Linked DNA regions of Arabidopsis thaliana. The protein of the gene in region 1 interacts with the protein of each later gene in a pairwise test. Each region holds a gene or a part of one and is shown in the gene's direction. Other genes may lie near its edges. The genes, in order: MORF9, AT1G06790, MEF9 and MEF21.

Region 1 (6,182 bases):
AGAAAGTGCTCACCATAGGTTTGTTTTTCTTAACTTACCAAGGAGCCGACAAAATTGTCTCAAACTCAAACTCCACATCTTCAAGCTCTACATTGAGATCTTTTGCACATGACTCCATCTGACATATCTTTTTCCAGGCTGCATCTTTCTGTTCTTTTTCTGCTTCCTTTTGTTCTTTTAGAGCAGCTTCTTGCCTCTGCAGCTCGATAATCTTGTGTTTCACCTCAAGAATCTTTTGTTCCATGTCATCAAACTCTTGTTTAGCCTTGCTAAATTCATTTGTCATCTCCTTGTCAAAACCTTTTAGTTCCTCCATTATATATAGTTGTCTATCTTTGAGTGCTAACAGCTTGTCGATCCGTGATAATGGAGTTGTAACATTGAAGCCATGTTTCTCGAGCTCCGAAAATGAATCTTTAAGGCTATTTAGTTGGCTTACAGGAACGTCGGCTTCAAGATCTTTAAATTTCTCCAGTAACCCAAAATAAGTCACCATCATACCTATTGCATACCCTTCACGGAAATCTTGCTTAGTCTCAAACAATGGGCTGAAATGAAGACTGTGTGATACACTTTTGAAGACCTCCAGTGATTCATAAGTCTTCCAGACCGGTGACTTCTTTGCAAAAGGCAAAACCATTATTGTGTGTTTTGCATGGTTTTCCTCAGCATTAGAAGCAGAATTCTTCACCACATTGGGGGTCCGATCCGAGGATAACACTGGACAGATGAACGCATACACAACACAATGAGAAAATAAAGGCTTATCTACCAGTAATAGTACAATGAGACCATTGCAAGCGGGTCCTACATTCCAGAATGTGCAATGAGAGTTAAGACATACCAGTCTTATTGATGTATGAATTGAGCTTTAGACCTCCTCTTTTCCTCTTTCGAGTATAATATTTGATCTTAGGCTCCTCAGGCATCTGTGCATAGAAGTGTTAAACCAAAAGGAGAGCCATCTCAAAGATAAATAACAATCATAAACAATACCTTCTCTCGAGTTGACTCATTTCCAAAGCCATTCTTCATTGGCACAGGGGATACCTTTCCTTGGGTTTTGTTCTTTGTTGCAGTTACCCCCAGGGTTATAGGTAAACCAGATTCTTTTTTCTGGAAAACAAAGACCATAGAACAATTTCAGGGCGTAGAAAACAAACAAGGTTATAAAAGAATCCACTAGCAGGGTTATGACCATATACCACATCATCAGCCATCTCATTTCCCGGTGGTTCCTTTGTCTGCACATTTCTGTTGCCGTCTAAAGAAGTTTCTTTCTGGCGTTTTGGCTGAAAATGGAAATAACATAACAACACTTCAATTAATCCTCAAAGATGTCACACTAATTAAACCAAACCAACACAATGTTGCCTGCAACTAGTGATACAATTTACCTTTGTTCTTTTATGCCAAACTCCATCTTCCCACTCCATTGGAGGCCTAATATCAGAGTGATTAAATTGCGATGCCTCCTTTGTTGCCCCGAAACTTACCATGTACCTTCCCTCAAAGACAATTCCCCTGACCACACCTTGACGCCATTCAAAACCACTAAACGCCTCTACATGATCCAGCAATTCATACTTTCCAACAGATAAAGGAGGCTGCATAGGCCTTAGTCTTAGGGAATCAACAATTAAATTTTTCGATTCCCGGCAGCTATAGGACTTATTCCAGTACTTGACAAGAAACCTCTTGTCCTTCTCCAACTCCTTAATGACAATTACCGGAATCCAAGCACAATCAAATCTCAATTCCACCATTGTCCCGCAACTAAAAACAGACTTGACCAATTCCTTCAAAGACAAAAAACAAACATACAACAACGGATAAAGTTAACAACTTTTTCATGCAAAGGCGAAACGATTTCAAAAAAAACTCATCATACCTTATTATCAGGTCGGATCCATTTGAAGCCGGTCCAATCAAGATGAACCCTCAATTTCTTTTTCTCAAACTGAATAATGTCTGGTGGGCAATCGAAGTAAACCAAAAACTTCTCATCCTCCATTGTTTTTACCACCACACCAGTCCACCACCCATCTTTGAGATAAGCGTCGACCATCAAGCCTTCTACAAAAACGACGCCGTCGTTCACATCCTCCGACGGGACAGGACGAATGAACCTCTGATCGACGAATTCCGTTAAAGGAGCCAAACGGTGTTCATTGAGCTGCGTCAAGTAACGAACTTTAAGCTTATTGTGTCCTGATTTCGTTGGATTATCTTCCAGAATCGCTCTGTAATAAGACCCTTTTAACTCTTCTTCTTCAGAAAAAACTTCTACTTTGTCGTCTTTTCTAATGAATATCATCTGCTCCATCTCAAAAACCCTTGAATGAAAACTAATAACGGCTCATTTTTGCTCTGCTAACCCTAAATCTAAAAAAAGACTTTTCTGCTGAAACCCGAAAACCATAGATATGATTATATGAAGGAGACTTTTTGCAACCAAAACACAGTGCTACTGTGTCTGTGCTTAGTGTCGATATTCACGATACACATCGGGGAAAGTGTGTTTTCTTTTTTTCTTTCCCAATTTACTTTTCTTTTTTTTTGGCGCTTGAAATTATGAGAAAATGATTTAAGAAATTATCAGGCCCAAACTATCTAATGGGCCTAATTAAAAACGGTGTCGTTTCATAGGATCCTCATCACGAAGCAGGTAAGTAAAAATATATCTTATCTTCTCCAAAACTCTCTCTTCGATTTCAGCAATTGCAATGGCTTCCTTCACAACAACTTCTTCTTCCTCGCTTCTCCTCAAAACTCTTCTCCCCGTAAGCCACCTGAATCGTTTCTCTACACTCTCTGGTATCCGCGTTGGCGATTCATGGACTCCTCTGCTCCGGAACATCTCCACCGCTGGGTCTCGGCGTCGAGTGGCGATTGTGAAAGCTGCGACGGTGGATTCGGATTACTCGTCGAAACGGAGCAATAGCAATGAGCAGAGAGAGACGATTATGCTTCCTGGTTGCGATTACAATCATTGGCTCATTGTAATGGAGTTTCCTAAAGATCCAGCGCCAAGTAGGGATCAGATGATTGATACTTACCTTAACACTCTTGCTACTGTTCTTGGCAGGTTCGTTTTCGCTTTCTTATTGATTCTCTTCGTTGTTGAATTAGTTAACTAATAGACGACATTTACTTGTGTTGCTAATGGACTTGTCCTTTGATTGAATCCAATGTTGCGTATAGGAAGATTTGGTTTTTTGTTAGATTAGGGTTTTTGATGATACTTTAGGGTAAGGGTTTAGTGAGCTGAGTAAAGCTTTCAGCTTTAAATTTGCTCTGAAGTTGACCTAGTTCCAGAATTTGTTCTTAATATCAGGTGTAATCTTTAGCTGACTTGTTTTTCGTCTCTTGATATGTGCAAACTTATTGAACATTGCTGCATATTGAACACAAAACATTGGTGTCTGATTTGATATCTAAAACTTTGTGCTCTTTAGCGTAATTATGAATGAAATTAGGGGGAAGAATAGAAGCATCTATTTTTGCATATTTTCTTCAAGCTATGTATAAATTGTAGGTGATTGTGCATGGTTTCTGTTTGTTAAAAACTTGATGTGGACAGTGTAAGCTAGTAATGTATGTAAAAGGAGTGTACAATTGTGCAGAGCATTAGATTGGGACTCCTGACTAGAAATTTCTTGGTATGGCAGGGAACGAGTTTGTGTTACACAACTAATGACTAAAACTTTAGTTTATTTGGTGCTACTCTCTATTTTAGAGAACTTTGATTCCGGTTTACACTATCCTGCTGATGTGATAACCAATTAATGTACTTGTGTCCATTTTCCAGCATAACCAGTTCATCGTGTTTGCTTATTATATGTACTTGTGTCTATTTTCCAGCATGGAAGAGGCGAAGAAGAACATGTATGCATTCAGTACCACGACATATACTGGATTCCAATGCACCATCGACGAAGAAACATCTGAGAAGTTCAAGGGTTAGTTAGTGAGCAAGAAGAGCCTTAGTCCCCTTATTGAAAGTTCGTCGAAAACCTTCAAGATACTGATCGTTCTGTCTTTTCATTATTTTCACAGGTTTGCCTGGAGTTCTCTGGGTCTTGCCTGACTCCTACATAGATGTCAAGAACAAAGACTATGGAGGTAACCCATCAAAGCCTGATTTTAAACTTTCTAGGATCTCTCTCTCTCCCAGTATCCATGTTCTGATAATTGAATCGTTCTTTCTCGGGTTTAGGCGACAAGTACATCAATGGAGAGATTATCCCGTGCACATACCCAACATACCAACCAAAGCAGCGCAATAACACTAAGTATCAAAGTAAGAGATACGAAAGAAAAAGAGACGGTCCTCCACCTCCTGAACAGAGGAAACCAAGACAAGAACCAGCAGCCTCTGATTCCTCTTAAACTATAATAAGATAATGGAGTGTTTGCAAGTTTTGATCTTTTGGTTAGCACTTAGCTTGTTGAAGTCGTGTGTAAAATCGTCTAGTACCAAATGATGATACTGTATCATCACACCTTGAACAATAGCTATTGTTATGTTAGGATGAAATTCAACTTGAACCATTTGTTTATTTAGGTAATGTTCGGTTTTGGTTTGGTTTGATTCTTTGTCAACCACTGCTTTTTCCCCACGTTTTCTCAACACCAATTTCAGACAAGACAAAACAATTGTAGGGTCACACACTCGTCACCAACTCACCATCTACATCAGTCGTCCCTACCTTATCAACACATCACATGGAAATAATACACTACTCTCTCACGGACTTGGAACCAAACATTCCAAATTAGTTTAATCGACAGATCACTGCTCAGCTGAATCGTTTTCTCTCATCAACCGCAGAGAAAGACTTTCAAGATCATCCTTCAAGCTCTCTCAAATGGCCAACTTCTATGAGAATTACCAGAGTCCTTACGATTACAATCAGGTTAATAATCTCTACGATCAAAATCATTATCATTACAATCAACAGCAGCAGCAGCTTGGTTTCGAACCAATGAGTTATAATTATTACAACTGGAATGAATCTGAATCTGAATCTGAATATGTTGCTTACTCTGGTTATGATGATCCAATGAGTTATAATTGTTATAACTGGAATGGATCCGAGTCTGAGACAACCTCTGCATATGTTGCTTACTCTGTTTCTACCATGTCTGAGCCTAAACACTTGTTCTATGATCCGAATCTCTATACAACCTACGAATCTCCTCCTCAGTTTAGTATCTATTGCTCTGTAGCCTCTGCTCTTGACTTCAACGAGCCGGAATTCGATGAATACGATCCCACGCCGTACGGTGGTGGCTACGATGTTGTTGCAACCTATGGAAAACCTCTTCCTCCATCGGTGGAAACTTGTTACCCTTGTTCAACCGCTCCTCACGCTAAAGCTCCCTCTCCTCCTGAGATTATTGCTCCTGTTCCTCTTGGAATTTATGATGGTGGTCAAAAGAATGTTGTCAAGAAACGTGTGTCTTTTGCTGAACCGGTAGAAGAAGTCAAACCAATAGAAACCATTAAAGAGCAAGAACAAGAACAAGACGAAGATTATGATGAAGAAAGTGAGGACGAAGATGATGGTGATGATGATGATGAAGAAGAAGAAGAAGGGGATGAGGAAGCTAAAGAAGAAGAAAAAGATCACAGTTCAAGCTATGGAAATGAGGAATATGAAGTCGTAGATAAAGGAGAAGTGAAAGCTTTGTATGTTCCGTCTGGTTACGGATTAGAAGCGACCGATCTCTGTGAGGTTATATTTGGAGGTTACTTTCCTTGTGTGTTACGTAACAAAAGACGTCAGGAAGATGAACAAGATCGTGGGGCTGCTGTTTCTTGCTGGGAAAGCAACGATTCTGATCCGTGGAAGACAACTTCCGATCACCTTTTCGGGGATTCATATCCGTACGGTTACGAGAATCGGAGCGAAAGAAATCAGTTCGAGGTCTCCTCTTATGGTTACCGGATGTATTAACAACCCTAGTTATCATCAGTTGTGTCAATGTGAGGTAAGAACAACATTCTTTTGATTATTGATGAACCTGATTTTTTAGTATCTGTTACACAAGAGATGAGATTTACTGTTGTATAACGAGGAGGGGTTACTTAATAATAAAACGTCGCACGCAAAATCTATCTTCAACCTTTCTATTTGTAACATTCTCTTTAACACGTTTGTTTAAAATCTAAAATC
Region 2 (6,562 bases), 1.8 Mb from region 1:
CTTAGCGCTATTGAACATGTAAGTTGGAAGTTACAGGTTCCTCTAGGTCATCTCCTTAAAACCTTTTGACCATGCGTTTTGTTGAAGTTTTTTCTCTCTGTGATTTAGGAGGATGGAGAAGGCTTGAAGGGGCCAAGGCTCATTCTCTTCAAGGATGGGGAGTTTAATTCGTCTGCTGAAAGTGATGGTGGTGGGATCATATTTTCAATCTTGCTTTGATTTGCTCTGATGTCATTAACTCCTCAGATTTTTTATCTGTCGTAATCATGGGTTGTAGGTAATACTTACAAAAACAGGGAAGAACAAGTGATTGTTTCACAGAAGATGACAGTTAGCTCTGATGAAAAGGTGTGTATATATAAATACAACTGATTTGAAGATAACATGAACTTGATCAGTCCAGCTGATATAAAGTAACATGAACTTGATGATTGCTCAGGGTATGGAATAACTCCGATATTGAATCCTAGAATCAGATTACAAGTCATTGCGGTCCATGTTGATTAGTTTATCTAAGGAATAGAAAAGCCAAGTTTCACTTTCCATCAAATTATTAGATGTTTCATGATTACAATTTATTGGGTTTTTTTTGTGTCAGGGTCAAATTCTACCAACAGTCAACCAACTTGCTAATAAAACGGATTTCAAGCCCCCTTTATCTAAGGGTGAAAAGAACACAAGGGTTCAGCCCGACAGAGCAACAGATGTGAAAACGAAGGAGATCAGAGACAAAATTATTCAAGCTAAAGCCTACCTGAATTTCGCTCCACCTGGAAGTAACTCTCAAGTTGTGAAGGAGTTGAGAGGTCGGCTGAAAGAGCTGGAACGGTCTGTTGGTGATGCAACAAAGGACAAGGACTTATCAAAGGGGTAAGCACAACTGCTTGATTCAAAAGGAGAACATACCATAATTGCATTCAGAAATTTGCTGTTACAACTACAACCTTTTAGTGCCAAAAGTCGTGCTGTTTAAGAATATTATTTTAGTAACCTCTGACATGATTGTTTCTTTCAGCGCTCTCCGCAGGGTGAAGCCCATGGAAAATGTGTTATATAAGGCTAGTCGTGTCTTTAACAATTGCCCTGCCATCGCTACCAAACTCCGTGCCATGAATTATAACACAGAAGAACAAGTTCAGGCGCAGAAAAATCAAGCAGCGTATCTAATGCAGCTTGCAGCAAGGACCACCCCAAAAGGGCTTCACTGTCTCTCAATGCGGCTGACATCAGAATACTTTTCACTGGATCCTGAAAAAAGGCAGATGCCTAACCAGCAAAATTATTTTGACGCTAATTTCAATCATTATGTTGTCTTCTCTGACAATGTTTTGGCTTCTTCAGTCGTTGTTAACTCTACGATATCTTCATCAAAGGTATCATGCATTTCTTATACAAATTTCTACTTGGTTATCATTATATGTTATACCTAATTTTAGAGTGTCTTACACTATATCTTCTCATTTACTTCCGCCACTTATTAATGTGGCTTCTGATTGCTGTTTGCAGGAGCCAGAAAGAATAGTCTTCCATGTCGTGACTGATTCACTTAATTACCCAGCAATCTCAATGTGGTTTCTGCTAAACATTCAAAGTAAAGCTACTATCCAAATCCTAAACATTGATGATATGGATGTCCTGCCTAGAGATTATGATCAATTACTGATGAAGCAAAACTCTAATGACCCAAGATTCATTTCTACACTCAATCACGCACGCTTCTATCTCCCGGATATATTCCCGGGTTTGAACAAGATGGTACTCTTGGACCATGATGTAGTTGTTCAAAGAGATTTAAGTAGACTGTGGAGCATTGATATGAAAGGAAAGGTGGTTGGAGCTGTAGAGACTTGTCTTGAAGGTGAATCTTCATTTCGATCAATGAGCACATTTATTAATTTCTCAGACACATGGGTCGCTGGGAAATTTAGTCCTAGAGCTTGCACATGGGCTTTCGGGATGAATCTAATTGATCTCGAAGAATGGAGAATACGGAAGTTGACTTCTACATACATAAAATACTTCAACCTGGTACGCTATATACACACACACACTCTACTGCACTTGCTCTCCCTATGGAAATAACACTGTAGCCATATTCAAAGTTTTCAAATGGGTTCTTAGATTTGTTGATTCGTCATTATATATGAAAAAGATTGTAATAATTATTAGGTTTTAGGTTGGCTATATCGAGGATGAAAGGTTTTGAATTTAGAACACAAATAACATTGCTGTAACTAGCAAAGAACATAAGCAAGCTAGTGCTAAAGATCATCTCCTAGAAGAAGAATGGTTACAAGCAACAACATATCTTGTCTATGTAATGGGCGTAAACCTAACAATGGTTTTGGGGAATTTGTTTTTTTGGCAGGGAACAAAGAGACCATTGTGGAAAGCTGGGAGCTTACCAATAGGTTGGTTGACTTTCTATAGGCAAACATTAGCATTGGACAAGAGATGGCATGTGATGGGGTTAGGTCGCGAATCAGGAGTCAAAGCGGTTGACATCGAACAAGCGGCAGTTATACACTACGATGGGGTCATGAAGCCGTGGTTGGACATTGGAAAAGAGAATTACAAACGTTACTGGAACATACACGTCCCTTACCATCACACCTACTTGCAACAGTGCAATCTTCAAGCTTGATACGAAAAAAAAAAAAAAAAAATCTGGCAACTTAGGTTCAGTTTCAGATTCTTTTTGTTAAACAAGCTACTCAAGCATGATATCAATGTTATGATTAGCTTCATTCTTTATCCCACATCAGTGTATATCTTGGTTCTTCTTTTTTCACACTTTTCATCAGAGCTTAATATTACTTAGACTATAGTGACAGGCTGACAGCAACAGATTGTTGTCATACCTTGGACTTGGCCCAATTTCCTTTTTTGGCCCACCGGTATGAATAAAAAGAGTGCGGTTTTCAGTTCGGTTCGGTTTATAAGCGTAACGATGACAAACCGATCGGTTTGTTTTAATTCTTGACTTTAATAACTAAACCCTAAATCGTTCTTCTTCTTCCGCATCTTCCTCACTCGATTAGTAGGTTCTCTCTTCTTCCAATCTATTCCCAACTTCTCACTTTTCCGTCTAATCGTTGTCTTCATCACCATCTCTCCGAGTTCCCTTCGAGACCATCTTATCTTCAATGGTTTAGGTATTGCCCGATTTTAGATAGTTTTGTTCTCTCGTATAGTTATGACAATGGCAGATTTTTGTACGCTCTGCACATGCTTAATCTTGAGGATTGGGCTATTATTACGTACTATGATTTAATGAATTTTAGATTTGAATTTTGGAACTTTTGATGATATGCATGTTAATGACCAAGAATGCTCCGAATTTGTCTGATTCGTTATTCGAATTCTACTTCTTTGATTGTTTGTTTCCAATTTTCCATGCATCTGACTTGTGAATTTTGAACAAAATTTTCAGAAATGTTTTATCTTAGCGAGCTAGAACATTCACTAAGAGTGCCTCCGCATCTACTTAATCTCCCTCTCGAAGATGCCATTAAGTCAGTGCTTCAAAATGTGTTCTTGGACAAGGTTTGCTCATTGCCCTTTTTCTTTCACTTTTATGGTATCCATTGTTTGCTTATTTATATACACACCTGGCTAATTTTATCAAAGTGGATTTTTGCTATGAAAGGTTTTAGCTGATTTGGGGCTTTGTGTATCTATTTACGACATTAAATCAGTAGAAGGAGGGTTTGTGTTACCCGGTGATGGTGCTGCGACCTATAAGGTATATCCAAATTGCTGATCTTTTCTCATCTCTATTCTTTTATCAGTTGAACATGGTTTTTTATATCAATTTTATGGCCTCCCAATGTCACTGTTAGTGGCATCATTGTTGACCTATCACCGTGTATTGCACACTTTCTGCACTGTATTGAGTTACATCTTTGTAGACTCATCATTACCGTACTAGAGTTTCAAACCATTCTGAGATTTTGGTTCTTCGGAATCGTTATCTGTTAGTCTAACTTTCACTGTACGGTTTTGGTTAAGAATTTTATTTTCAAAAGTTTTATCTTGCCTTGATTCAATATCTCATGTCGTGTTGTTAATACTTTGTTTGTGTGATTGTAGGTAGGTCTTAGAATTGTTGTGTTCCGTCCATTTGTTGGTGAGGTCATAGCTGCAAAGTTCAAAGAATCTGACGCCAATGGCTTGCGCTGTGAGTACTTTATTATACTGTTCCCTGAAGAATTCCAATGTTGTGCACTGTCTGCATCCTGCTACTCTAGTACATTGTTAGCTTATTAGCTACTTATGAATTGGATTAATACTTTGAAATCATGGATATGGTTAATCATTTACATGCTTACGGTACCTCTATACTTGGCAGTAACACTTGGATTCTTTGACGATATTTATGTGCCTGCTCCACTTATGCCGAAACCCAACCGCTGTGAGCCTGACCCTTATAATAGGTAAGAATATGTGTCCTGCAGTTTATGTAGTACTACCAGCTCTCCAACTATGAGTAGGAGATTGCACCAACATCTTTATATATCATTTGATCACAAAGTATAATGTTTTTTGGTTCACAGGAAGCAAATGATATGGGTGTGGGAATATGGAGAACCGAAAGAAGACTATATTGTTGACGATGCCTGTCAGGTGAATTTTTGGTTCCTGCATGTATCTTTAAGCATAATTATCTGAATGTGGTATGTTTTTATAACGAGGCATTGTAAATGGCAGATCAAGTTTCGAGTAGAGAGCATCAGCTATCCATCAGTTCCAACTGAGCGAGCAGAGGACGCAAAGCCTTTTGCTCCAATGGTGGTCACTGTAAGTTCATTCATCAAACTCATTCTCTGAAACTTTTCCACTTGTATATGCATTATAAACAACGCTAGTTAAGTAAGGTCAGATAAGCCTCCTGATTCCCTCCTCTCTTATAGATACTTAACTTTTATTTTGAGACACCATGATTTTTTGTTTTGGTTTTCCTACGTCGGTCCAGTGGTCAATCAATCTTGTGTACTGCGCAGGGGAATATGGATGATGATGGTTTGGGTCCTGTTTCTTGGTGGGATTCTTATGAACAGGTTGATCAAGAAGAGTGAGTGACCGAAACAGGTGGGATTCTTATGAACAGGTTGATCAAGAAGGGTGAGAGACCGAGACTTAGTCTAGGCATTGTCAGATGAAATTTTAACAGATGATGATCAAGCCAGTTTTGATGAAAACTTAAAATTTATTTTAAACTATGCACGGGTTTTCACTAAGATAGGGACGTTCAATTTTGTTTATCTGTAATGTAAAAAGGCAATGACACAAATTAGGAAGATTAAAAACCAAAAAAAAATCGATAAATTACAAGAGTTGTGATGGATGATGGAGTTGGGTGAGGAGTTGATGTATGTCAGGAGCATGTTGATCATCTGCACGGATGCGATCAGGTTGAATCCAACGGCCGTCAGTGTTCCTCACCATCCCTTTGTTTGCGTCTTGGCGCCAATAAGGAGGGACCATGAAATGGTCTTTCAAAAAATCAGATGCTTTGTTCACTAACGCTGGATCTCTCCCACTTGATAACACAAATCTCTGTCCTTTCCCATGATACCTATGTTTTTTTAAACAATAATCCAGATTCATCAACTCATACTAATACTATTATGCTCTAAACGACAAATTTATTTCCTAGTAGTTTTCGATAATTAAATTCTCTCCAACCTACCCATGAAAGAAAGAAGTGCCACGTAAATCAGATTACTAAATGACCCCATTATTCTCCATTCGGCATTTGATGAGGCAATAATGTTTACCAAATTTTTGAAAATCGTATTAATAAAGAAATGGTGTTGGAAAATGTGGACATTGAGATCTGTCTCCTCAAAGGCTTTTGACTTGTCAAAATATTAGCTGGAAATCTTAAAATTACTTTTTAAAGTAAAAAAGTAATAAAAAGAAGAATGACTGACCCGTCAAGGAGATGGAGGAGAGCTTCCAAGTTATGAGCCGTAGAAAGATCAACGGTGGGCTTAAGGAACGGAGACTTCTGATGATCCAACGGCAGCATTTCTCCCACGTGGCTATAGCACCACGGCAATCCTCCCGCCAATTTCATTAGCGCCTGTGGCGCACGCTCGTTCAGAAACAGTCCCGGCGATTTCGCCACGACGTCGTGCTCGTTCACCACTCTCAACACCTTCACTCCCAATTTCTCAATCCTCTCCTTGAATCGAATGTTCCCAACTCGCGGTCCTCCGTACGTGAACGCCGTCACCGGAATCACTTTTCCTTTCCTCGTTCTGTTCACACCCATCTCCGCCACGTCGTACGCGCTTAGCACCGCCAGCGCACCGCCGAGACTGTGTCCCGTCACGGTGATGCTCAGTTCTTCTCCTTCCTCGTCGCCGTACCTTTCCACCAGCCGCTTCACTTCCGTAAGAACCTGCTCTCGCGCCGAGAATTTGGAGAAATTGCAGGATGTATCTTTGTCCGTGTATAGATCCAGAAACCCGGATTCGGCTTTTACGGCCGGGTCGGGGCATCGGAATCCGTTTCCGGATACCGGTTTGAGGAAATCCTTGAGATCAGCTATCCA
Region 3 (6,412 bases), about 19 Mb from region 1:
TTTTGTTGGAGACCAATAAGAAAGAAACGAATCTGTTGAAAGTTGAAACATACAAATTTAATAGATATATAATTGAAATATTTGTTTACAACTTGTTTGACAAATATAGATTGTTTACCATCGTTCATTTACCAAATGGATATTTTGAGGAAAATATCTTTCTTTTGGGAATCATCTTACTAAAATAAAAAAAAATCTAATCGTATGTCTTTGCTTATAATTTCTTTTTCATCTTTTTGTCAACCAACGACATTAAACTTGTTTTTAAGGTTAATTATAAAGATTTTCTAAATATAACAATTGTATATAGTATACAATTGTATGTAAAAAAAAACAATTGTATAGCCGTCGTGACGTAGTAAAAAGGGATATTAGGATCACATAAATTCTTTATATAAGGAATCTTTACGTAAGGCAACATTATTATCTCCTCTCCCTTATTGAGAAGGGCTCATGGTCAACGTTGGTTATAGTCTTATAGATGAAATGGGGATCTAAGACGACAACCCAGAATCCGAAGACAGTTCAGGAATCTAGGCGACATTAGTATACCACAATCTGTGTGCAGACACTGGCGAAGCACAGACAGTTGAAGTATTAAAACAATTTTTAAATCGTTTCGCTGCAAATTATCCAGGTTTATTTAAATTATATAAGCTATATTTCATTTAGTACTTTGTATGAATTATAAGGAACTAATACTTAAAGTTATAAATCAGCTGAAAGAATTTATGATGATATAAGCAATTGAAATGGTTTGATGTTTATTCATGAAGCTTGAAGAAGAATTTTCGCTTCATCAAAAGAAAAAAAAAGTGTTGATGTCGAAAGAAAAAAGAAAAAGATGTTGATATGTATATATGTACTGTACAAGTTATTGAACTTACCAAAAGTTTCTGAATGTCCAACACTAACTTGTGTTTTGTACTTTTGATTTCTCTGCCTTATGCTTATGTACATGAATTCTTTTTTTTATAGGTTAGCACAACATAGAGCAAAATAAGCTCTATTTCATCGATATACCGAGATGGAAATACCTAGTCAAGAAATTCACATCATGATTGATAACACAATATCGAGGCGCAAAGAGAGAAAGACTAACCTCGCAGATGCCGAACCCATTGTCCTGATGTCTGTTTTGAGTAGTCTCCATGCGGGATATTTCAGAATAAGCCTTTCTCTATGTAGCCAAGCATTGTTGTGGAAGATTATGGTGCATTTGCATAGCGAACTCCCGTCTATGGCGTATTATCTCCTGTGGTACCTAGCACTTGCAACACAAGTATCACTCTGTTTTTTGTATGCCTTCAAGTGTATTTTTCTCTTTGACATGGTGAAGGAAGAGTTCTCGCACTATATTGGAGTGAACTATCTTTACGCTCCATCCATTTCATGTCTTCTATTGCTTCAATCAGCTCCTATGATAGAACCACACAGCGTTTTATATCAGACACTATTCTGGATCTTTGCTGTTCCAGTCTTGACTTTAGACACAAAGCTTTATGGTCAATGGTTCACAACAGAGAAAAGGTTTTTATCGATAATGGCAAACCCGGCAAGCCAAGTATCGGTAATCGCAAACCTAGTGGCTGCGCGGGGAGCAGCAGAGATGGGTTGGAAAGAGTGTGCTCTATGCTTATTCTCACTTGGAATGGTTCACTATTTGGTCATCTTTGTTACACTTTATCAACGCTTACCAGGCGGAAACAATTTCCCAACCACGCTAAGACCGGTTTTCTTCTTGTTTTTCGCTGCACCCGCCACAGCAAGTCTAGCTTGGAACTCTATTTGTGGAAACTTTGATACTATAGCCAAGATGTTATTCTTCCTTTCACTCTTCATCTTCATATCTCTGGTAAGTTTACATCTTTACGATACACCAAGAAACCGAAAACCGACATTTTTACATTCTTTTTCTTATACATTTTCAGGTTTGTAGGCCAAATCTTTTGAAGAAGTCGATAAAAAGATTCAATGTCGCATGGTGGGCTTACTCGTTTCCTATCACATTTCTCGCTTTAAACTCGGTTCAGTACGCGCAAGAGGTGAAAGACCATGTCGCTTCGGTCTTGATGTTTATCTTCTCATCCATGTCAGTTTTGATATTCATCAGTGTGATGTTACTGACAGCAGCAAATAGCAAAAGATTACTTAGACGTGATCATGTCCTCTGGTCTTCTACTGGTCCAAAAGACAAATAAACATCGTGTATGGCGAAACTTGTAAACCAAAGCTAATTACCCATAAAATAATGTATGTAAAAGTAGTTACAAAACTAGCTGGATAAAAAATTTCAGTTGGAAGATCAACCAACTACAGACTACTATGTAATACAATTTGTAGAAATTTCTACTCTAATTACTATCTGACCTGATATCAAACCCGGTTCAAATACTATAAAACCGGAAATGCTGAATTGAACCGAGTTATTACCGGTTTAAACACAGTAAAATCAAAATTCACCTGACTGTGAGAATCAACTGATCAATTCCATTCCACTGACTGATTCTTCCAAATCTCAGGAGTCAGGCCTCAGAGGCTAATTTGGTTTACAATAGACACATTTTACTATCTGAATTGAACCAAATGATTTCCGGTTCAAACATGGTAAACCGAAGAATGTCCATTACATCATCATCTGAACCAAATTTACCTGACTCTAATTTTCAAAGCTAGAGGCTTTTTTAGTTTTTGATCGCTGCAAATTTCGCCGGCGACGACGATGATCCGATCACGAAGTGTCTTGTTAATTTTCAGGAAGGTGTTGTATCAATCGTCTTGTCTTAAGTGTTTATTATGTGCAAACTCTTTCTCTACTTCAGTTTCGTCAAGCTTGGGTTTTCGAGCGACGAACAAAGAGTTAAACCAGATGATAAGATCGGGGTATATCGCCGAAGCTAGAGATATTTTTGAGAAACTGGAAGCGAGGAACACAGTGACATGGAATACGATGATAAGCGGGTATGTGAAAAGGCGTGAAATGAATCAAGCACGGAAACTGTTCGACGTAATGCCTAAGAGAGATGTTGTGACTTGGAACACGATGATTTCGGGGTATGTTTCATGTGGTGGGATTAGGTTTCTTGAGGAAGCAAGGAAGCTGTTTGATGAAATGCCTTCAAGGGATTCTTTTTCATGGAACACTATGATTAGTGGTTATGCGAAGAATCGGAGGATAGGTGAAGCGTTGTTGTTATTTGAGAAAATGCCTGAGAGAAATGCAGTGTCATGGAGTGCTATGATCACTGGGTTTTGTCAGAACGGTGAAGTGGATAGCGCGGTTGTGTTGTTTCGGAAAATGCCTGTGAAGGATTCGTCTCCTCTATGTGCACTTGTGGCTGGTCTTATTAAAAACGAGAGACTTTCAGAAGCTGCGTGGGTTTTGGGTCAGTATGGGAGTTTAGTTTCAGGAAGGGAAGATTTGGTGTATGCTTATAACACTTTGATTGTTGGATATGGACAGAGAGGACAAGTAGAAGCAGCTCGATGTCTGTTTGATCAGATTCCTGATCTCTGTGGTGATGATCATGGTGGAGAGTTTAGAGAGAGGTTCTGTAAAAATGTTGTGTCATGGAATTCTATGATCAAAGCTTACTTGAAAGTGGGTGATGTGGTCTCTGCAAGGTTGCTATTTGATCAGATGAAAGACCGCGATACAATTTCTTGGAACACAATGATTGATGGATACGTACATGTTTCCAGGATGGAAGATGCTTTTGCTCTGTTTTCGGAAATGCCGAACCGTGATGCACATTCGTGGAACATGATGGTCTCGGGTTATGCTAGTGTTGGCAATGTAGAGCTTGCTCGCCACTACTTTGAAAAAACACCTGAGAAACATACAGTCTCGTGGAACTCGATAATAGCAGCTTATGAGAAAAACAAGGACTACAAAGAAGCTGTTGATTTGTTTATCCGGATGAACATTGAAGGAGAGAAGCCTGACCCACATACTTTAACTTCTCTTCTCAGTGCATCTACCGGGCTTGTGAATCTGCGTTTAGGAATGCAGATGCACCAAATCGTTGTCAAGACTGTGATCCCCGATGTTCCAGTCCACAATGCCCTTATCACTATGTATTCAAGATGCGGTGAAATAATGGAGTCGAGGAGAATCTTCGATGAAATGAAACTCAAAAGAGAAGTAATCACATGGAATGCAATGATAGGAGGATATGCATTTCATGGTAATGCCTCAGAGGCCTTGAATCTGTTCGGGTCGATGAAAAGCAACGGGATATATCCTTCTCACATAACATTCGTCTCAGTTCTGAACGCTTGTGCTCACGCGGGACTTGTTGATGAGGCTAAAGCACAGTTTGTGTCCATGATGAGTGTGTACAAGATCGAGCCGCAGATGGAACATTATTCTTCCCTGGTCAACGTTACCAGTGGACAAGGGCAGTTTGAAGAGGCCATGTATATCATAACGAGTATGCCTTTTGAGCCAGACAAAACGGTATGGGGTGCATTATTGGATGCTTGTAGGATATATAACAATGTAGGGCTTGCACATGTTGCAGCTGAAGCAATGTCGAGACTCGAACCAGAGAGCTCAACACCTTATGTACTGTTATATAACATGTATGCGGATATGGGACTATGGGACGAAGCTTCTCAAGTGAGAATGAACATGGAGAGTAAAAGAATCAAGAAGGAAAGAGGATCCAGTTGGGTTGACTCCTCAACGTAAAAAGCAGCCTTTATTTATGTTTACTTAAACATAAAAATTGATTTGGGATCAGAATTGAGATAGAAATTGATAAGGTACTCTTGAAAGTTCTCTCTTTTCTCAATTCTCTTCATCATATTTGGACTCATATTCCAACGACATCGTTTTGGGAATCCCCATGATTCTTGTTTGCTTCTATCTGTTTTTCTTTTCCAGTGCCCAAAAATAAAATAAAAAGAATCTTTGTCTACATTGATTGAAAATTTGATGTTTTTCTTTTTGCAGCCATTCAAAATATTGGTGGCTTCAAATTCACCTCTTACACTTGTAGCTTGTGCTTCATCCAATTCTTTGCAGCGATTAAAACACACAAAAAGTTTGCATATGAATTGCTGACTCTGAATTTCTCAAAAAGGTAAGCCTTTTTTTGTTCATATCTTGCTTTTTAATCTCAGATGTATTTAAATGATCGTAAGTATCTGTGAATTGGTCCAGTATGATTAAGAGATTCTTGACACTTTCCAAAGATCAGAGGTTTTGATTTTCTTCTTGAGCTAATACAAATTTTCTGATCGCAATATTAGCTAATCTCCAAATCCAAATCATTTGAATTTGTTTTCTTTTTTGCCACTTATGGATATCTCTAAGGACTAAGAATGAATTGAGAGATGAAATTAGGGTTTCAACTTTCAATTTGAACAGGGAAGCTGATTTTTTTTTTCTAGAACATCAATGTATCTTAGACTCTTACACATCTTAATTCCTAATATAGTTGTGTTATTCAAAGAAAAAAGCTTCTCTCTTATGCAGATAAGGGCATTGCTTCATTGATATGGTTAAGAAATGTTAGTTGCGTATCCTGCGGGAACTATCAACAAATTCCAAATCCCTATTAGCTGCTATGCCGCTTTGCGCAGATTCAAGACCTCGCCTTTTGGTCCTCTGATTAGTTGTTCTGTCTCCCCAAGATCAATAGTTCCTTGTAGCAATGTAGAGTGTTATCATTCATCTTTTTCTACAAAATATCAAATTCAGCCTCGAAGGAGATGGATGGTTAGTAATTAAAGTTTTCGTCTCTTCGGCAAGTTATACATCCATCTGTATACTGCTCCTAAGTTTTTTTGTGTTTGTTCTTTTGATTTCATCAAGTTTTGTAACTCACGCAACAACTCGATTTCATCGGATGATGAGTACCGTTCATCACCCAACATAGCTATAAGTCTTTTAAGACGTTACAGGACCGTGATTGGACGCGGTGAAGGCGAAACCTTAAAAGTAACTTCCTTTTTTTATTTGAGTCATTCTTGTTTTCTTCTCGATTGTATATCCATCTTTCATTAATTTGTTTGTGTGTGTATCTTCAGGAATTCATATCCGCTGGTGTGAATGCATATGCGCTCGGCTGCACAGATGAAGATTTGAGAAAAGAACTAATGGCTATGAAAGATTCGGGTTTAGAGATTGAGAGAATGGAGAATTACGGCGGAAGCACACAGACTAAATCCAAAATTACGCTGTCTGAGGTTAGTTAGTTACAACGAACTTGTGATATCATCGGTTAATATATGAGCTAAGTCGTATCAGATCAATTTTAACTGGCGGTTTTAATTCCGCAGGTAGATGAATGCATATTGTGGCTTAGGATTGTATTCATCACGATCTTGTGTACGCCGCAACCAACAGTCATAAGATGGTCATCGACTCCTTCGGTTTCTGATGAAATTCTAAGCAAATGGAGAG
Region 4 (5,701 bases), on another chromosome or scaffold:
TTTGCAGTTTGCAACAAAATATGGGTTTGAAAGTTACATTTTTGAAAAGTGATAATAATTAATCTACTATCTATTAATCAAAATGAGAATTATTTCTTTTGTATAGAAAGTAAGGAAATGTCAAATATGGCCGTTTATATATTAAGAAAAATAAATAAAAATCGTTTACTAAAAAAAAAATATATTAAGAAAAATAAATAAATTAGTGAATTCACTAATGGGCCTGAATACAAATTTTGGGCCCAAAGATCTCTAGTAACAGAAAATGCGTGATCGACCAAAGCGTCAACAAAATCCTGATTTCTGAGCTTTAAACCCTAACCCCTCTCTTCTCTCTTCTCCACGCCATTTCCAGAATTTTCAGGTACTTCCTCTCGCCATTTTCATTATAGATCGAATTCTTAGTTTAAGCGAGTAAAGCTTCAGATTCTTCGGCTTCAATTTTGTGATCTAAGTTTTTGTTTCGTTTCAGCTAATTTGCAGATTATCTTTGTCTCTTTTTCGTTGATCCAAGTTTTCCTTGGGTCTAATCTACAAACGCATTTCGTTTCTCTATTTATCTGTTTCTGCCTTGGATTTTGATTGGGTTCCAAATTTGCAGGTGTTCGTGAAAAGATGAATTTTAAGAATGTCAAAGTTCCCAAAGGTCCTGGTGGTGGTGTTATAGCTGCGGTGGTTATTGGGGGGCTCAGTCTTTACGGTGCTACGCACACTCTCTACAATGTCGATGGAGGTCATCGAGCCATTGTCTTTAACCGGCTTGTTGGTATCAAAGACAAGGTTAGTCCCTGCAAAAATTGGTTTCTTCTGAATCTGTATATTGACAATGAATCTTGTGGTTGTGACATCTAGCTGAAGTTAGGTTAGGCTTAGCATTACTAGTGAATCTTATGTTTGCGGCATATAGCTCACGTTAGGTTAGGCTTACCGTTAGTAGTGAATCTTGTGTTTGCCGCATCTAGCTTAAGTAAACAAGGTTGATTTCTTAGTCTAGTTTTGATAGTCGTTTACAAAAGTCATCTTGATGCGCCATTAATAGTATATCTTTGCTTGCTTGATTATGTAGGTCTACCCTGAGGGTACTCACCTTATGATTCCATGGTTCGAAAGGCCAATCATCTATGACGTTCGTGCAAAGCCTTATCTAGTTGAGAGCACATCTGGGAGCCGTGATCTCCAGATGGTATTCCGCTTCATTTCATCACTTCTAATACTAATGGGTATAATCAGGTCGTGTGGTTTTGTCGTGTGAACTACATGATAAGCTTATGTTGTGTGGTATTTAAACATTCAGGTTAAGATTGGGCTTCGGGTTCTCACCCGTCCTATGGCTGACCAATTACCAGAGGTATACCGGTCCCTTGGTGAGAATTACCGCGAGAGAGTCTTGCCTTCTATCATCCACGAGACCTTGAAAGCTGTGGTTGCTCAGTACAACGCAAGCCAACTTATTACTCAGAGAGAGGTTAGCCAACTGGCTGTAAATACATTTTATTGATTCCTCTTCAATGGTAAATTGATGTCCCTTTTAATGGATATATGTTTTTTTGGTGTTTTTCAAGTCGGTGAGTAGAGAAATCAGGAAAATCCTAACTCTAAGAGCCGCAAACTTCCACATTGCACTGGATGATGTGTCCATCACAGGCTTGACATTCGGAAAGGAGTTCACGGCAGCCATAGAAGGAAAGCAGGTCGCTGCTCAAGAGGCCGAACGGGCTAAGTTCATTGTCGAGAAAGCTGAACAGGACAAGAGAAGTGCTGTTATCCGCGCCGAGGTGTGAAAAGTGTTTCTCTCTTTTCTAGCATTTTAAAAACCGGAGATTGTGTTAAAGCTTGCTTTTTTTTTTCTTTTTTGTTGTGAACTATTTTAAAGCTTGCTAACTGATGTTTCTGCATGGGTTTATGTAGGGAGAAGCCAAGAGTGCTCAGCTCATTGGTCAAGCAATCGCAAACAACCAAGCGTTCTTAACACTGAGGAAGATCGAAGCAGCTAGAGAGATCGCACAGACCATCTCTAGGTCGGCGAACAAGGTTTACTTGAGCTCTAACGATCTGTTGCTTAACCTACAGGCTATGGACCTTGATGTGAAGCCGAAGAAGTAGAGAATGATATGATTAAACCACACCAGAGCTCTTCTTCCATAATCGTATTTTCAATTCACGGATTCTTAGACCAAAAGCTATGAGTTCTATCTTGTGAATTTCAGACACTATCGTGCGTTTGTAGTCTTTCTTTTGTGAGATCAAGAAGAAAAGAAAAGATTTATGTTTTTACAAGTTGTTTACATTTGGTAATAATGATGTTCACAAAGCTGGAAAATAGGCTGTGAAAAAGATCAAACAAATGGGCCTGAAAATGAGAATTGGGCTTTTGGCCTAAGTTTGGTGAACCCCGAGAGACACACATCTGGGTTTAACGACGTTAGGTCGGAGCCAATTTGATTCCACCACCACGAGCTTCCTAATCTAGCTTTAATGGCGTTTCATGGAATCAGAGAAGTTGAAAACTATTTTATACCTTTTCTACAGCGAGTCAAAAGCCGCAATGAATGGAAGAAGATCAATGCCTCCATCATCATACATGGATTATCACAAAGCAGCTTCATGGTCACTAAAATGGTGGATTTTTGTGATAAGATTGAAGATATGGATTATGCAACTCGTCTTTTTAACCAAGTATCGAATCCTAATGTCTTCTTATACAATTCTATAATTCGTGCTTATACTCACAATTCATTGTACTGCGATGTGATCAGAATCTACAAGCAACTGCTCAGGAAGAGCTTTGAGTTACCAGATCGGTTCACTTTCCCGTTTATGTTTAAATCTTGTGCGAGTCTTGGATCATGTTATTTAGGGAAGCAAGTTCATGGTCATCTCTGCAAATTCGGGCCTAGGTTCCATGTTGTGACTGAGAATGCATTGATTGATATGTACATGAAGTTTGATGATCTTGTTGATGCACATAAAGTGTTTGATGAAATGTATGAGAGAGATGTTATATCTTGGAATAGTTTGCTTTCTGGATATGCAAGGCTTGGGCAGATGAAGAAAGCAAAAGGCTTGTTTCATTTGATGCTAGATAAAACTATTGTATCTTGGACTGCGATGATCTCTGGGTATACTGGGATTGGTTGTTATGTAGAGGCTATGGATTTCTTCCGTGAAATGCAGTTAGCTGGTATTGAGCCTGATGAGATCAGTCTCATTTCTGTTTTACCGTCGTGTGCGCAGCTCGGATCTCTAGAGCTTGGGAAATGGATCCATCTATATGCAGAGAGAAGAGGGTTTCTGAAACAAACTGGTGTTTGCAATGCTCTTATTGAAATGTACTCGAAATGTGGTGTGATTAGTCAAGCTATCCAATTGTTTGGCCAAATGGAAGGGAAAGATGTTATATCATGGAGTACGATGATCTCTGGGTATGCATATCACGGGAACGCTCACGGAGCAATCGAAACATTCAATGAAATGCAGAGAGCGAAGGTGAAGCCTAACGGGATCACATTTCTTGGTCTTTTATCAGCTTGTTCACATGTTGGTATGTGGCAAGAAGGGTTGAGGTATTTTGATATGATGAGACAAGATTATCAAATAGAACCTAAGATCGAACACTATGGCTGTTTGATTGATGTTTTGGCAAGAGCAGGAAAACTAGAACGAGCTGTTGAAATAACAAAGACAATGCCGATGAAACCCGACTCGAAGATATGGGGTTCATTGTTGAGCTCTTGCAGAACACCAGGCAATCTTGATGTTGCTCTGGTTGCAATGGATCATCTTGTGGAGCTAGAGCCGGAGGATATGGGAAATTATGTTTTGCTTGCCAATATTTACGCAGATTTGGGAAAATGGGAGGATGTTTCGAGATTGAGAAAGATGATAAGGAACGAAAATATGAAGAAAACGCCAGGTGGTAGTTTGATAGAAGTGAACAACATTGTTCAGGAATTCGTTTCAGGAGATAACAGTAAACCTTTTTGGACTGAGATATCTATAGTGCTGCAGTTGTTTACTTCACATCAAGATCAGGATGTGATTACAAACAACAATGCTCTTGCATTTATAGGCATAGTTTAGAAGCGTTTGGATTATAGAAGAAGTAGCAAACTTATTAGGCGTCTTCAATCATACATATGTTACAAATCGATCAGAAATATACAACAGTATTTAATTATACATACGTTACAAATCGATCATAAAGGTCACAACAGTACTCATTCATACATATGCTACAAATCGATCAGAAAGGCCACAACAGTATTTAATCACAATATATAGGAGCTTTGATACTTCCTCTCGTATTCTACATTGTTTTGTCTGGACTGGGCTGATTTTAACTGGACTGGGCTGATTTTAACTCCATTCATCCGAGAAGTTTCTTCAATCCTGTCTTCTGCTCTGAGGTTAACGTTGTAGGGAACTTGATGTTAAATTTGATCCTCAAGTTGCCTTTCTTAGCCTGGTCTTTCTGCAACGGCATTCCTTCATTTGGAACCACTTCCACATACTCGGGATGGATCACAGTGTTGACTGGGATGGTCAGTCTCCGACCATCAAGTGTAGTCAGGTTGACGGTGTAGCCGGTAAAGGCCTCGAGAACTGAGATCTTCTGTGTGACTACGAGGTCATTACCCTCTCGAGTGAAAACCGGATGAGGCTTCTCATCTATGATGAAGACTAAATCCGCTGGTATCACACCGGGTTGCTCATTTCCTTTCTCCGAGAATGTGATCTTTGTGCCTGTCTTCCACCCCGGTTTCACATCAACAGTCAAAATCTCTTGTACCTGCGTCGTCTTGCTGCAAGTTTTTTTCAAAAGAAAACACATAAACTGGTCAGCATATGCGATTTTTGCCACTCAACAAGGTTATCAAGTATGATCAATGTTCTGCTTTCATTATGTATTGCCAAACGAACACCCTAACTAACGCTTTCTTAAGATGAGTGGCTAACCTAAAGAGTTCCACTTGGTGTTCACAAATAAGAAATGGAATGGTCATGACTTACCCAAAGACACCAGCAATCTCTCTAGAGATCTTCATCTTCTTGGTGGTTCCTTTGTAAAGATCTTCAAGGCTACAAGGCAACTTTTTTTCAACAGGAGCTGCCTTCCTAGCTCCACCGTGATGCATTGTGCCACCACCACCACCTCCTCCTTCTCTGCCTCCACTGCTGCCACTGCCAGAAGGGCTAGGGACCCCAAAGTACTCAGCAGATATATCATCCTTATCTCTCGGACCAGAAGGGTTAGAGACCTCAAAGAACTCAGAAAATATATCATCCTTATTTCTTGGACCAGAAGGGCTAGAGACCCCAAAGAACTCAGAATATATATCATCCGCATTTCTGGGACCAGAAGGACCAGAAGGTCTAGAGACCCCAAAGAACTCAGAAAATATATCATCTGCATTTCTCGGGTGACTCATGTTTCTTCTCAGAGTGTGGAATGAATGTTCCAGAAATCGTTCTGAAACCGGGAAAATAATGAGATTAGTACAATCCGTTCCAGAGACTCACCGTGAGCTGAGGAAAGGAGAAAAGTGATTTGTGCAGAGAATAATCACCGGATTGTGGGAGTAGGACGATGATGATGACCAAGGATGAACTGTACCGAGAGTAAAGTAGGGGAGAGAAAGCATAATGTTTATGTACTACATAAAGAGTGCTCGAAGTATTGAACCAACTTCATTATTGACCG

Evidence for each region.
Region 2: the proteins of MORF9 (region 1) and AT1G06790 interact in a two-hybrid assay, tested with the Arabidopsis thaliana proteins (one study listed by BioGRID).
Region 3: the proteins of MORF9 (region 1) and MEF9 interact in a two-hybrid assay, tested with the Arabidopsis thaliana proteins (one study listed by BioGRID).
Region 4: the proteins of MORF9 (region 1) and MEF21 interact in a two-hybrid assay, tested with the Arabidopsis thaliana proteins (one study listed by BioGRID).

Annotation. Positions count from the first base shown.
Region 1 is NC_003070.9:3,844,547-3,850,728, forward strand, and holds MORF9 (plastid developmental protein DAG), read left to right. Parts: upstream 1-2,673; 5' UTR 2,674-2,726; coding exon 2,727-3,088; intron 3,089-3,864; coding exon 3,865-3,962; intron 3,963-4,059; coding exon 4,060-4,125; intron 4,126-4,219; coding exon 4,220-4,392; 3' UTR 4,393-4,678; downstream 4,679-6,182. Other genes in the region: DUF2 (agenet domain protein (DOMAIN OF UNKNOWN FUNCTION 724 2)), read right to left, coding at 35-720, 845-929, 997-1,116, 1,206-1,292, 1,398-1,799, 1,892-2,326; AT1G11440 (uncharacterized protein), read left to right, coding at 4,872-5,963.
Region 2 is NC_003070.9:2,084,210-2,090,771, forward strand, and holds AT1G06790 (RNA polymerase Rpb7 N-terminal domain-containing protein), read left to right. Parts: upstream 1-2,972; 5' UTR 2,973-3,155; intron 3,156-3,433; 5' UTR 3,434-3,435; coding exon 3,436-3,546; intron 3,547-3,649; coding exon 3,650-3,745; intron 3,746-4,092; coding exon 4,093-4,180; intron 4,181-4,351; coding exon 4,352-4,436; intron 4,437-4,556; coding exon 4,557-4,626; intron 4,627-4,710; coding exon 4,711-4,800; coding exon of another isoform or gene 4,801-4,830; exon of another isoform or gene 4,831-5,003; coding exon 5,004-5,078; 3' UTR 5,079-5,238; downstream 5,239-6,562. Other genes in the region: GAUT6 (galacturonosyltransferase 6), read left to right, coding at 1-18, 109-190, 278-348, 599-870, 1,016-1,373, 1,507-2,028, 2,369-2,644; PLA-I{gamma}1 (alpha/beta-Hydrolases superfamily protein), read right to left, coding at 5,329-5,578, 5,937-6,562.
Region 3 is NC_003070.9:22,996,107-23,002,518, reverse strand, and holds MEF9 (mitochondrial editing factor 9), read left to right. Parts: upstream 1-2,689; 5' UTR 2,690-2,722; coding exon 2,723-4,693; 3' UTR 4,694-4,764; downstream 4,765-6,412. Other genes in the region: SLAH4 (SLAC1 homologue 4), read left to right, coding at 1,028-1,855, 1,932-2,201; AT1G62250 (orotidine 5'-phosphate decarboxylase), read left to right, coding at 5,516-5,725, 5,822-5,947, 6,037-6,195, 6,289-6,412.
Region 4 is NC_003071.7:8,841,685-8,847,385, forward strand, and holds MEF21 (mitochondrial editing factor 21), read left to right. Parts: upstream 1-2,466; 5' UTR 2,467-2,475; coding exon 2,476-4,080; downstream 4,081-5,701. Other genes in the region: PHB6 (prohibitin 6), read left to right, coding at 616-780, 1,067-1,183, 1,295-1,465, 1,563-1,775, 1,909-2,103; AT2G20550 (HSP40/DnaJ peptide-binding protein), read right to left, coding at 4,367-4,802, 5,011-5,429.